Linked DNA regions of Ovis aries. The protein of the gene in region 1 binds, or shares a complex with, the protein of each later gene. Links are inferred from orthologs where the notes say so. Each region holds a gene or a part of one and is shown on either strand. Other genes may lie near its edges.

Region 1 (3,744 bases):
TATAAAGAAAGCTGAGCACTGAAGAATTGATGCTTTTGAACTGTGGTGTTGGAGAAGACTCTTGAGAGTCCCTTGGACTGCAAGGAGTTCCAACCAGTCCATCCTAAAGGAGATCAGTCCTGGGTGTTCATTGGAAGGACTGATGCTGAAGCTGAAACTCCAATACTTTGGCCAACTGATGCGGAGAGCTGACTCATTTGAAAAGACCCTGATGCTGGGAAAGACTGAGGGCAGGAGAAGGGGAAGACAGAGGATGAGATGGTTGGATGGCATCACCGACACAATAGTCATGGGTTTGGGTGGACTCCGGGAGTTGGTGATGGACAGGGAGGCCTGGCATGCTGCGGTTCATGGGGTCGCAGAGTCGGACACGACTGAGCAACTGAACAACAAAAAATGTTTAGAAATACTAATTTCAATAACTTATTTGGGGGGCATTTGCGTCTTACCAGTACTCTTCTGTTAATGAACCGCTTTTCACAAGTAAAGCAACTGTGCTTGCGTCTGGAAAGCAGGGCCTCCAAAATAATTAGGGGGCTCTGTGTGGGAGTGAACGGCGACGAGCCCTTCTTCAGAGAGGTTATCCTCTTCGTTCACTCCCTGGTCCCAGTCGCACCGAGGAAACTTGAACGCCGACTCACTGGAGACACAGTAGGTCTGAAGCAGCCGCCGCCTCTAAGACGCTCATGACACTAAACCCACCTTCAGCCCCAGTACCTGAGCGGAGTCCACGCCCCTGCCCGGCCCGGGCGCGCGCACGCACTGGCCGGCGCACACGCTCTGCGGGCGCGCGCACGCACTCGCCGGCGCTCACGCTCTGTGGGCGGGCGGGCTCACTCGCCGGCGCTCTCGGCCTGTGGGAGCGCTCCGCGCCCGGAAGGACTGCTGAGCGGGAGGGTCCGGTGTGGGCAGAGGTGGGTGCGCGGCTGGAGACGGTGGGAAGGGGGCGGCGAGTGATGCGCGGGTGTGCGATTCCAGGGGTCCCCTCGCCTTGGTTTCTTGGCCGGGGGACAGTGGCGTTCCTGTGGCGGGATCGGGGTCGGAACTTGGTAGACGCGGGCCTGGCCCTGCGGGCGGCGCATCGACTGCCCCTCGGGGTGAGCCCCCGTGAGCCGGGGGCTCCGTGGGCTCCGTGGTGAGGCTCCGTGGGCTCCGTGGTGAGGCTCCGTGGGGTGGGGCCCCCGTGGTGAGGCTCCGTGGGCTCCGTGGTGAGGCTCCGTGGGCTCCGTGGTGAGGCTCCGTGGGCTCGGTGGTGAGGCTCCGTGGGCTCCGTGGTGAGGCTCCGTGGGGTGGGGCCCCCGTGGTGAGGCTCCGTGGGGCGGGGGGTCCCGTGGGTGTGCCATGGGGGGGCTGGGAGGAACTGGCCGGTGATTTCCCTCCACTCCCCCGCAGACCCATTGGCTCAAGATGTCGTACATGCTCCCGCACCTGCACAATGGCTGGCAGGTTGATCAGGCCATCCTTTCGGAAGAAGACCGCGTGGTCGTCATTCGATTTGGGCACGACTGGGACCCTACCTGCATGAAGATGGATGAGGTTCTGTACAGCATTGCTGAAAAGGTAAAGCAGCCACACCTCCCGTCACGTCCTGCCGCCAGGTTTGGTGTTTGCATCCTGTCGGATTGCTGTTGTTTTGCCGGTAAGAATTAAAAGTACAGCCAGTTCACCGGTTAAAGAGAAGCAGTAGGATTCACAGAAGTACAGACATACCTTGGAGTATGAGGATGGGCTCCCTGAAATTGGTCAGAATAGCTTATATCCTTACTGGCAGAAGTTTCCATAGATTCTCAAATTTTTAAGAGGTTCATGATGTCTCTCCTTGAAGAAGTGATTCTTATTAATTTATAGCGGTTTTAACTCATAGGTGTTTTCAAAAATTTACATCTATAGTGCCAGGAGCAAAACACGTTTGCAGCATTTGGCTGAGTGTAGGAGCTTACTTTGAATGGCTTAGTTTAAAAAACTTGACTTTTTTTTGGTACCGTGTTTGTTTGTTGTATGTATTGAGCAGAACATCTATGGTAACAACATAGTAAATTCCCTTCTTTTTCTTTGAGTCCCTTCTTTACCCCAGGGTGCTCTTTGTAAGTGACTTGATTTATAGCTTAGAGTGATACCAGTGTAGGAAACACTGGGAAAAGGTAGAACTGTAATGTTAGAACTAGTTTTCCTAATCCTTAAATTTAGTACAGGGGGTTGTCTGTGGCCCTTTGCTGACAATAAAGAGCAATTGTAGGGTACTGTTGAGTAACTAGGGCTTAATTCTCTTTCTGTAATTGTCTCATGGGTATTTTAAGGTAAATTTGATTTAGATTTTTGCAACTGTAGTAATAGGGCAAGAGGCAAAAATATTAGGGTATTAATAAAAAGTTTAATATTCAATGTTAATTTGAGAGGTTATTCATTTTATTAAAGAGTATAAAAATAAGGGAAACATTGAAGCCATCATTTATTTCACAGGAGTAAGATATGCTAGTATGGGCTGGATTAAAATAACTCCTTTGAGTAAAGAGTAACAGGTGTAAGGATATAGTTTGTATTTAGGAATTGAAAAGTAGTCTGACCTGCCATCAGTAATTTTCACTGTCTCCTCTTTGGTAGGACAGGCAGAGTGAGGTAGGGGTGATGGCACTCTGAACATTAGGGACTATCTTTCTGTGTCTGTCACCGAAAGTGCATCTCAGAGAGTCTGATCCTGGAGATCTGAGATGAGATCCAGAAGCTCCCCCAGGAATTCTGAATCCCTTCAAGGAGATCCAAGTCAGAGCAGGAGTCTGTGGTGATAACCTTACCCTCCTCTTCCTCTTGGACAGAAAGGTGTTGAGGGAGCTTGAAGAGATGCCTGGGGAACTCAGGAGAGCAGGGTTCTTCCAATTGGGTCCTCCCTGTCAGGTCCGAGGTCAGGAGTGAGGTGGTGCCCAGAAGTCATTTCCCCATGACTTGAGCCACAGTGGTTAAGGGCAGAGACTGCAGAAGTCAGTGATGATGGATGAAGACCCTGTTTCAGTAAGTGAATCACTGCTGTGTGGACGCTGATGTAACTTAGGTGGGTGTTCTGGGTTCTGCCTTGCAGGTGACAAGTAAGCATCAGGGGATGTCCAGACCCGGTGGCCCTCAGCACGAGGCTAGAATGGCAGAGGCGTGAGGGTTGTTTGCTGTTCATATCTGAGCAAAACTCAGCAAGATACTCTTAGCTAGGAGACAGATTTTGTGTCAGTGTAAGTTTTTAGGGACTTTTACCAGAATTGTTCTTTTCTAATCCCTATGTAGCGGTCAGAGACCAGATTGCTATACTGCTAGCAGGTGGCTCTTTTTGGAATGGAACCTGTTGGTAAGAACAGTTTAATTGGGCTCACTTGGAGTATTTTTCTCTAGTCTTTTAAGTGATTCTTTTTCTTTTATCCCGATTTCTATTTTAATAAACTTCTAATACTATGTAATAGTATAGTCTTTAAAAATGCAAACTTGAAATGCGTTACACAAATGTTAATGTTCTATTTTCTGCTTAGTGTAAGGGCAGAATATGAGTTTATAATTTTGGAAGCCCTTTTTGGGGACGTTCAACAGGAATTTTTGAAATCTAAGGTTTTAGTATAAAGAACAATTTAACTGTCTATCTCCCTCTGCAGAAATGGCAGATAATGGGAGATCTTCCTCATCTTGTTACGAGCTCTGTTTGGATACCCCAGCTGTTTTAAAGTGAGTAAAATTCCAACATTGAGGCTGGACTTGATTATACTATTC
Region 2 (2,485 bases), on another chromosome or scaffold:
CTTCTGTGGAGTTTAAAATTTAGCAAGAGAGATAGTCCTTAGTAATCACAGTAATGAATGTGCTCAGTAGCTCAGTCGTGTCCAACTCTTTGCAGCTGCATGTAGCCCGCCAGGCTCCTCTGTCTATGGGATTCTCCAGGCAAGAATACTGAAGTGGATAGCCATTCCTTTCTCCAGGGGATCTTCCCCACCCAGGGACTGAACCCGGGTTTCCTGCATTGGTGGGCAGGTTCTTTACCATCTGAGCCACCAGGGAAGCACCCATGACTTAGTACAGCAGGGATACTAAGGCAGACATGTGGACTCCTTTGTTGGACAACTTTGGCTCAAGGTCTTGCAGAAGTTTCCTTAGACTGCCTGGTAGTCTCAACTGCTTCCATACATCCTTTTCTCTTCTTTCCCTCCTTACCAGTCAGGCTTCACTCACAGCTCCTTCTCTATTTTCTTTTTTTTTAAATATAAATTTATTTATTTTAATTGGAGGTTAATTACTTTCATACAGTCATTTCTCCTAATAAAATCTTGCCGTGTTTAATCTTGTTTTGACAAGAGCTTCTTGGAGGTGTAGAATAACATAAGTAGAGTGGGTATTTGAGATTCAGGAAACAGTGTTTACTTCCTAGGCCTAGATCTGAGTCACATGACTTGGTAAGAAAACCCAAAGCTGTGAGACTTCAAGAAAACTTAATGTTTGGTAGCTGTATATGCATGACCAGGTTATCAGGAATAATAAAGTCAAAAGGGGTGAGGAGGAAGATGCTGGGGCACTGGCTGCAAGCCCTGTCGTTGCCTTCTGCCATCCAAAAGCTGGGGAAAGATCTCTGAGTGTCTTGGGGAAGCTAGTATTTTCATTCGGCACCATCTTACGTGGCTGGCTCTGGTTTGTCGGCCTGGCTCCAGATGTCATTCTTTTCCTCCATGATTACCAAGTGGTTGCTACATCATCACGTGAGAAAATACTGGGTAACGCAGTAGAGAATTTGGGATCCAGGCTTTACTTCTTTCCTAAAGATGATCTCATTTGGTCAAGGTCTGTCTTCCAACTTCCAAAAATCTCATTTTTCTTGGTTTCAGCTTTTCCACAAGTTCTTTGCTATGTCTTTTGTCTTTGTAAACATGAAATGTTTTATTTTCTTCACTCAATTAAAATGCGTTTTGTGGGGACTTCCCTGGTGGTCCAGTGGTTAAGAAAGACTTCACCTTCCATTGCAGGGAATATGGGTTAGATCCCTGGTCAGGGAGCTAAGATCCCACATGCCTTGTAGCCAAAAAAACATAAAACAGAAGCAATATTTTAACAAATAAAGACTTTAAAAACGGTCCACATTAAAAACAAAACTTAAGAGGGTTTGAAAGATGGCGGACGACGTGGACCAGCAACAAACCACCAACACTGTGGAAGAGCCCTTGGATCTCATCCGGCTCAGCCTGGACGAGCGCATCTACGTGAAGATGAGAAACGACAGAGAACTTCGAGGCCGGTTACACGCTTATGATCAACATTTAAATATGATATTGGGAGATGTGGAAGAAACTGTGACAACTATAGAAATTGATGAAGAAACATATGAAGAAATATATAAATCAACAAAACGGAATATTCCGATGCTCTTTGTGCGGGGAGACGGCGTTGTGCTGGTTGCCCCGCCATTGAGAGTTGGCTGAAACGAGAATCCGCCGCCTGTGGGAGACGGGCTGTGCTGTGCGGTGGCCTCTTTGAGTGTGGAAGATGTTCCAAAGAGAGACCGATGTGCATCTTGATGCTGAAAATAAGCAAGAATTCTTCCACTCCTGAAATAAGTTGATTTGTAGATAACTCACAAATACTTCAGCTAAACGGCATTTTTATTTTTCTCCAACCCTTCCAATAAATGTGATCGGCGCGATACAGAAAAAAAAAAATAAATAAAAAAATAAAAAATAAAAAAAATAAAAAAAAATAAAAAATAAAAACAAAACTTAAAAAAATATTCATATGTTTTCAGCTCTTCCTTTCTTTTGAATTCTTTTTTTTTTTTTTTTTGGTGGGGAGAAGTACAGTTGCTTTACAATGTTGTGTTAGTTTCTGCTGTACAACAAAGTGAATCAGCTATATAGCTCTCTTCTTTCCTTAATATTTATTTATTTGTTTGTTTGCCCTGGGTCTTAGCTATGGCACACAGGATCTTCAATTTTGTTGCGACATGTGGGTTCTTTTAGTTGTGACATGTAGGATCTAATTCCCTGAATGGGGATTGAACCCCAACCCCCTGCATTGGGAGCCATGTGTCTTAGCCACTGGACCACCCAAGAAGTCCCACAGCTCTCTTCTTGAAGAGGCAGGTGTGTGTTCTGAAAAGAATGGGAATGGAGATGGAATCTCGACTCTACCACTTCCTACATGTGAGACTTCGTGGAAGTTAATTTTATGAGCCTTGATTTTCTTGTTTATAAAATGTAGATAACACCACCTACCTCCCAGGATAGTTGTGAGGATTAAATGAGT
Region 3 (3,753 bases), on another chromosome or scaffold:
TTCAGAATTTTTCACAGTAAATAGGCATTATTATCGGAAAGAGGCCTAGGGGAGAGGAGGGGGCTCTTTCCAGCTCTGGAAACATCAATATTTTGAGCATCTCCACCCCCTACAAGGAGAAGGAAATGGCAATCCACTCCGGTACCCTTGCCTGGAAAATCCCATGGATGGAGAACCCATGGGGTTGCAAAGAGTTGGACACGACTGAGCGACTTCACTTTCACTTTCACGCCCTACAAGGGGGCAAGAATCTTGTCTTGTCCGCCTCTGATGCCCCAGCACCCAGGGCAGCAGAGTCGTGCAAGTTGCTTGCTTGCAGTTTACCTGACGCCTCACATTCATCATCTCTCTCGGAATAAGACAGAAAGACCTGCTGAAGACAGCAAAAGCGGGGCGTGGCTCCTCCGCCTGGTCTTTATTTCACTTCGGCGCTAGAGGGCTCTTTGAACTTATTGTTTCACCACTGCCCAAATTCACCGAAAACCTACCCAGCCCAGAAGAAACTGCCAAGAGAACTTCCTGACAGTGGAGGAGAACAGCACTCCCGCCGCAGCTCCTGGGCTGCACTCAAGGGTCCAGGGCGAGAGTTTCCATGGCAACATAGGCCTTGGCGCCAGGAGGACTTAGAGCCCCTGGCCGGGCCGGGAGCCGATAGTAGGCCCCGGAATCCCTCGATTCGCTCCCTGAGTTCAGTTCGCAGCCGCGCGATTCCCCGCACCTACCTCTTTTCAGGCCTGTTCAGTCCCTTTCCGGAACCTCGGCGCCCACCCCGAATCATCCGCTAAGCCAACTGGACTACACTTCCCACACTGCCTCTGAGTTTCTCTCTTCGCAGAACCTTGGCCTCCGCGTGCTTCTCTCTGAGGCTCTACAGATCACATCTCTCAACTCGCCCAGACTCCCTCCTACTACGATTCCCATAATGCTCCACGCCTCCCAGGATGCTGCGTCGGACCTAGGACCACTTCCGGTTGGTGACGTAGTTCCGCTTTGCTGGGCGCGCGGTGGACGGTCTGAAACGTAGAGCGCGGCTTTCGCTGAGGCTTCGCGTCCCCGGAGCCCAGCATGGCTTCCTCACGACCCTCCTCCACGGTACAGGTCTCATTCTGGCAGGGAGCGCTGAGGGGGTGGGGGGGTCCCTGCGAAACAGGGCCATTAGGGAACGGGCTACGGCGGTGGAGGGCCGAGGAGGAAGGCTTCGGTGTTTTCCTAATTCTTGGGTGCTTCCATCTGTTTTAGCTCGTTTTCACCTCTCACTCCAGCCCCGAAATGTAAATATCTCTTCCGTCTGGTTCAGAAACGGAGCTCTGAAAGGGAGTAGAGTCTTGGCCAAGATTTATGACACTTTCAGAACTCTTAATTGTAACGAGGCCTCCTAACTTATCTACTGCTTCATATCCGAAACGTTTGAAATGTATGAACAGTAGCTTTCTAACTTGGCCCCCGTACCATCGCGTTGGTTATTTCAGTTATCCTTGATACCCCTGTGATGAGCAGTAATTGTGGAAATTTCATAAAAGCCAAGAAGAGATTTCACCTGCTGCAGCCGTATGAAATACACATATTCAAGAGAAAACCTTTGACAGAAAAATCAGCACGAGAAATTGACTAGTTTTATCCATCTCTTCCTATCTACAAAACTTAAGTGATTAAGAGACTGGAACCACTCTTTCCCTCCACCCCCAGATTAAGGAAGACACATTTTAACTGGTGTCTGGTTTGTCCTTTGTGTGGGGAAGAAATAGGTTTGAAGCTCTAAATAAGCTTCATTCTGCTGCGAAACCTATTAGGCTGCTAAGATTAAGCTTTAGGTTAACCTAGGTCTTTGTTTTAGCAGGCAACCAAAACTAAGGCACCAGATGACTTAGTGGCTCCTGTTGTGAAGAAACCACACATCTATTATGGAAGTTTGGAAGAGAAGGAGAGGGAGCGTCTGGCCAAAGGAGAATCTGGGCTTTTGGGAAAAGAAGGACTCAAAGCAGGAATTGAAGCAGGAAACATTAACATAACCTCTGGTAAGATTCAAATTGTGAGTTCATCTTTACCTTTGGTGCTCAAATTTTCTGTAATGATTACCTTCTTCATCTTAAATATCACTAGTTTATGTCAAGAAACTACAACTAATAAGCTTGCACCTATCAAAGTCCATATTCTCCACCTACCTGACTTGGTCTTATCATCCAAAGAACCTTTTTCTTAAAACCTTTTATACAGTTTTCCTTCAGTAAACTGTTAGTAATTTTACTAGGAATTTATTTATTCAGTGTGTATTTGAATTCAGAGTGATTTCCTTTGTCTTCTGGAGATCTAGTGTAGTTCTGGCGTTAGCTTGGAGCTACTGTGTTTCCTAATATTCTCCTCTTTTTAGTTTTTCAACTGTTTTTCACCCAAAATGAAATTATCTCTTCTAAATTTTAAAGTGATAGCCATCTTTATTTTGAAAGCAATTAAACAATAAAGAAACATATGAAGTAGAAAAACCTGTAATCTGTATTAATTGGAGCTATGTCATTTCAAGAACTTAATAAAGCTATAAAAATACACTTTTTTTTCCCATAAATGAAATCACGATAAACCAATTGTTTTGTAAGCTGCGTTTGTCATTGTGATACTGTTAAATGGGCTTTCCTGATGGCTCAGTGGGTAAAGAATTCACCTGCAGTGCAAGACACAGGAGACAAGGTGGCTTTGATCACTGGGTGGGGAAGATCCCCTGGAAGAGGAAATGGCAACCTACTGCAGTATTTCTTGCATGGAAAACCCCATGGACAGAGGGGTCTGGTGGGCTACAGTCTACCAGCTCTCAAAGAGTTGGAAACAAGTAAGCCAGTAAGTATGCACACACTGTTGAGGGTATTTTTTCATGCCAGTAACTAGTAGTCTACTATATTTTAAAAATAAAATCATTCATGTTTGTCATAAGAAATTCAGAAAGTATGGAAGGGTATAAAAAGACTTCTGTGCAGATAGGACTTCTGTTGTTTCTCATCGACCCTCCCACACATTTTCTTTTCTATACGTGTGCACTTTTCATGAGTTTTAAACCTTTTATGTTATTTTAAACATGACTGCATCACCCTTGTACTTCTCACTTCTCATCCAAATGCTTGTTTTTTATGTGAGTTTTAAAACTAGCTACTAGATTATCCAAAAAGCCTTGTAGTTAAGGCTTTATCATTTTCATGGTAATTATTTCCAGTTCACTGTTAGATTTGTTAGTGTTCCTATACTGAGACTATTTCAGAGAGTAGCTTTGGCAACTGTTGAAATAATGTTTCTATTTTGCCATGGATAGAAAGCCTAGATAACTTGTTAAAAGTGCTCCATATTCTCATTGTCTCATGAAGGCTGTGTGTTTATGTAAGTGTAAGTTGCCAAATGAAACAAGATGACTTGAACCAGTTTCTGGCCTTTAAAACCTCATTTAGTTTTCTGTGTTTGGCATACTTTAATAAACTGAGAAACTAAAGTTTCTAACAGATTAGTTAACTGTCCCTAGAGGCATGCAGCGGAGAAGGCAATGGCACCCCTCTCCAGTACTCTTGCCTGGAAAATCCCACGGACGGAGGAGCGTGGTAGGCTGCAGTCCATGGGGTCACTAAGAGTCGGACACAACTGAGCGACTTCACTTTCACTTTTCACTGTCATGCATTGGAGAAGGAAATGGCAATCCACTCCAGTGTTCTTGCCTGGAGAATCCCAGGGATGGGGTAGCCTGGCGGGCTGCCGTCTATGGGGTTGCACAGAGTTGGA

The links.
Region 2: TXNL4A (region 1) and U6 snRNA-associated Sm-like protein LSm3 share a complex: the UniProt entries of both Homo sapiens proteins name them as parts of the precatalytic spliceosome. The link is inferred for Ovis aries from reciprocal best matches to the Homo sapiens genes TXNL4A and LSM3.
Region 3: TXNL4A (region 1) and PRPF4 share a complex: the UniProt entries of both Homo sapiens proteins name them as parts of the precatalytic spliceosome. The link is inferred for Ovis aries from reciprocal best matches to the Homo sapiens genes TXNL4A and PRPF4.

The regions. Positions count from the first base shown.
Region 1 is NC_056076.1:701,807-705,550, forward strand, and holds the start of TXNL4A (thioredoxin-like protein 4A), read left to right. Parts: upstream 1-835; 5' UTR 836-914; intron 915-1,392; 5' UTR 1,393-1,407; coding exon 1,408-1,560; coding exon of another isoform or gene 1,561-1,639; intron 1,640-3,270; exon of another isoform or gene 3,271-3,331; intron 3,332-3,629; coding exon of another isoform or gene 3,630-3,699; intron 3,700-3,744. UniProt on the Homo sapiens protein: Plays a role in pre-mRNA splicing as component of the U5 snRNP and U4/U6-U5 tri-snRNP complexes that are involved in spliceosome assembly, and as component of the precatalytic spliceosome (spliceosome B complex).
Region 2 is NC_056080.1:116,710,614-116,713,098, forward strand, and holds U6 snRNA-associated Sm-like protein LSm3, read left to right. Parts: upstream 1-1,343; 5' UTR 1,344-1,356; coding exon 1,357-1,665; 3' UTR 1,666-1,968; downstream 1,969-2,485. UniProt on the Homo sapiens protein: Plays a role in pre-mRNA splicing as component of the U4/U6-U5 tri-snRNP complex that is involved in spliceosome assembly, and as component of the precatalytic spliceosome (spliceosome B complex).
Region 3 is NC_056055.1:10,447,163-10,450,915, reverse strand, and holds the start of PRPF4 (U4/U6 small nuclear ribonucleoprotein Prp4), read left to right. Parts: upstream 1-981; 5' UTR 982-1,065; coding exon 1,066-1,098; intron 1,099-1,834; coding exon of another isoform or gene 1,835-1,837; coding exon 1,838-2,015; intron 2,016-3,753. UniProt on the Homo sapiens protein: Plays a role in pre-mRNA splicing as component of the U4/U6-U5 tri-snRNP complex that is involved in spliceosome assembly, and as component of the precatalytic spliceosome (spliceosome B complex).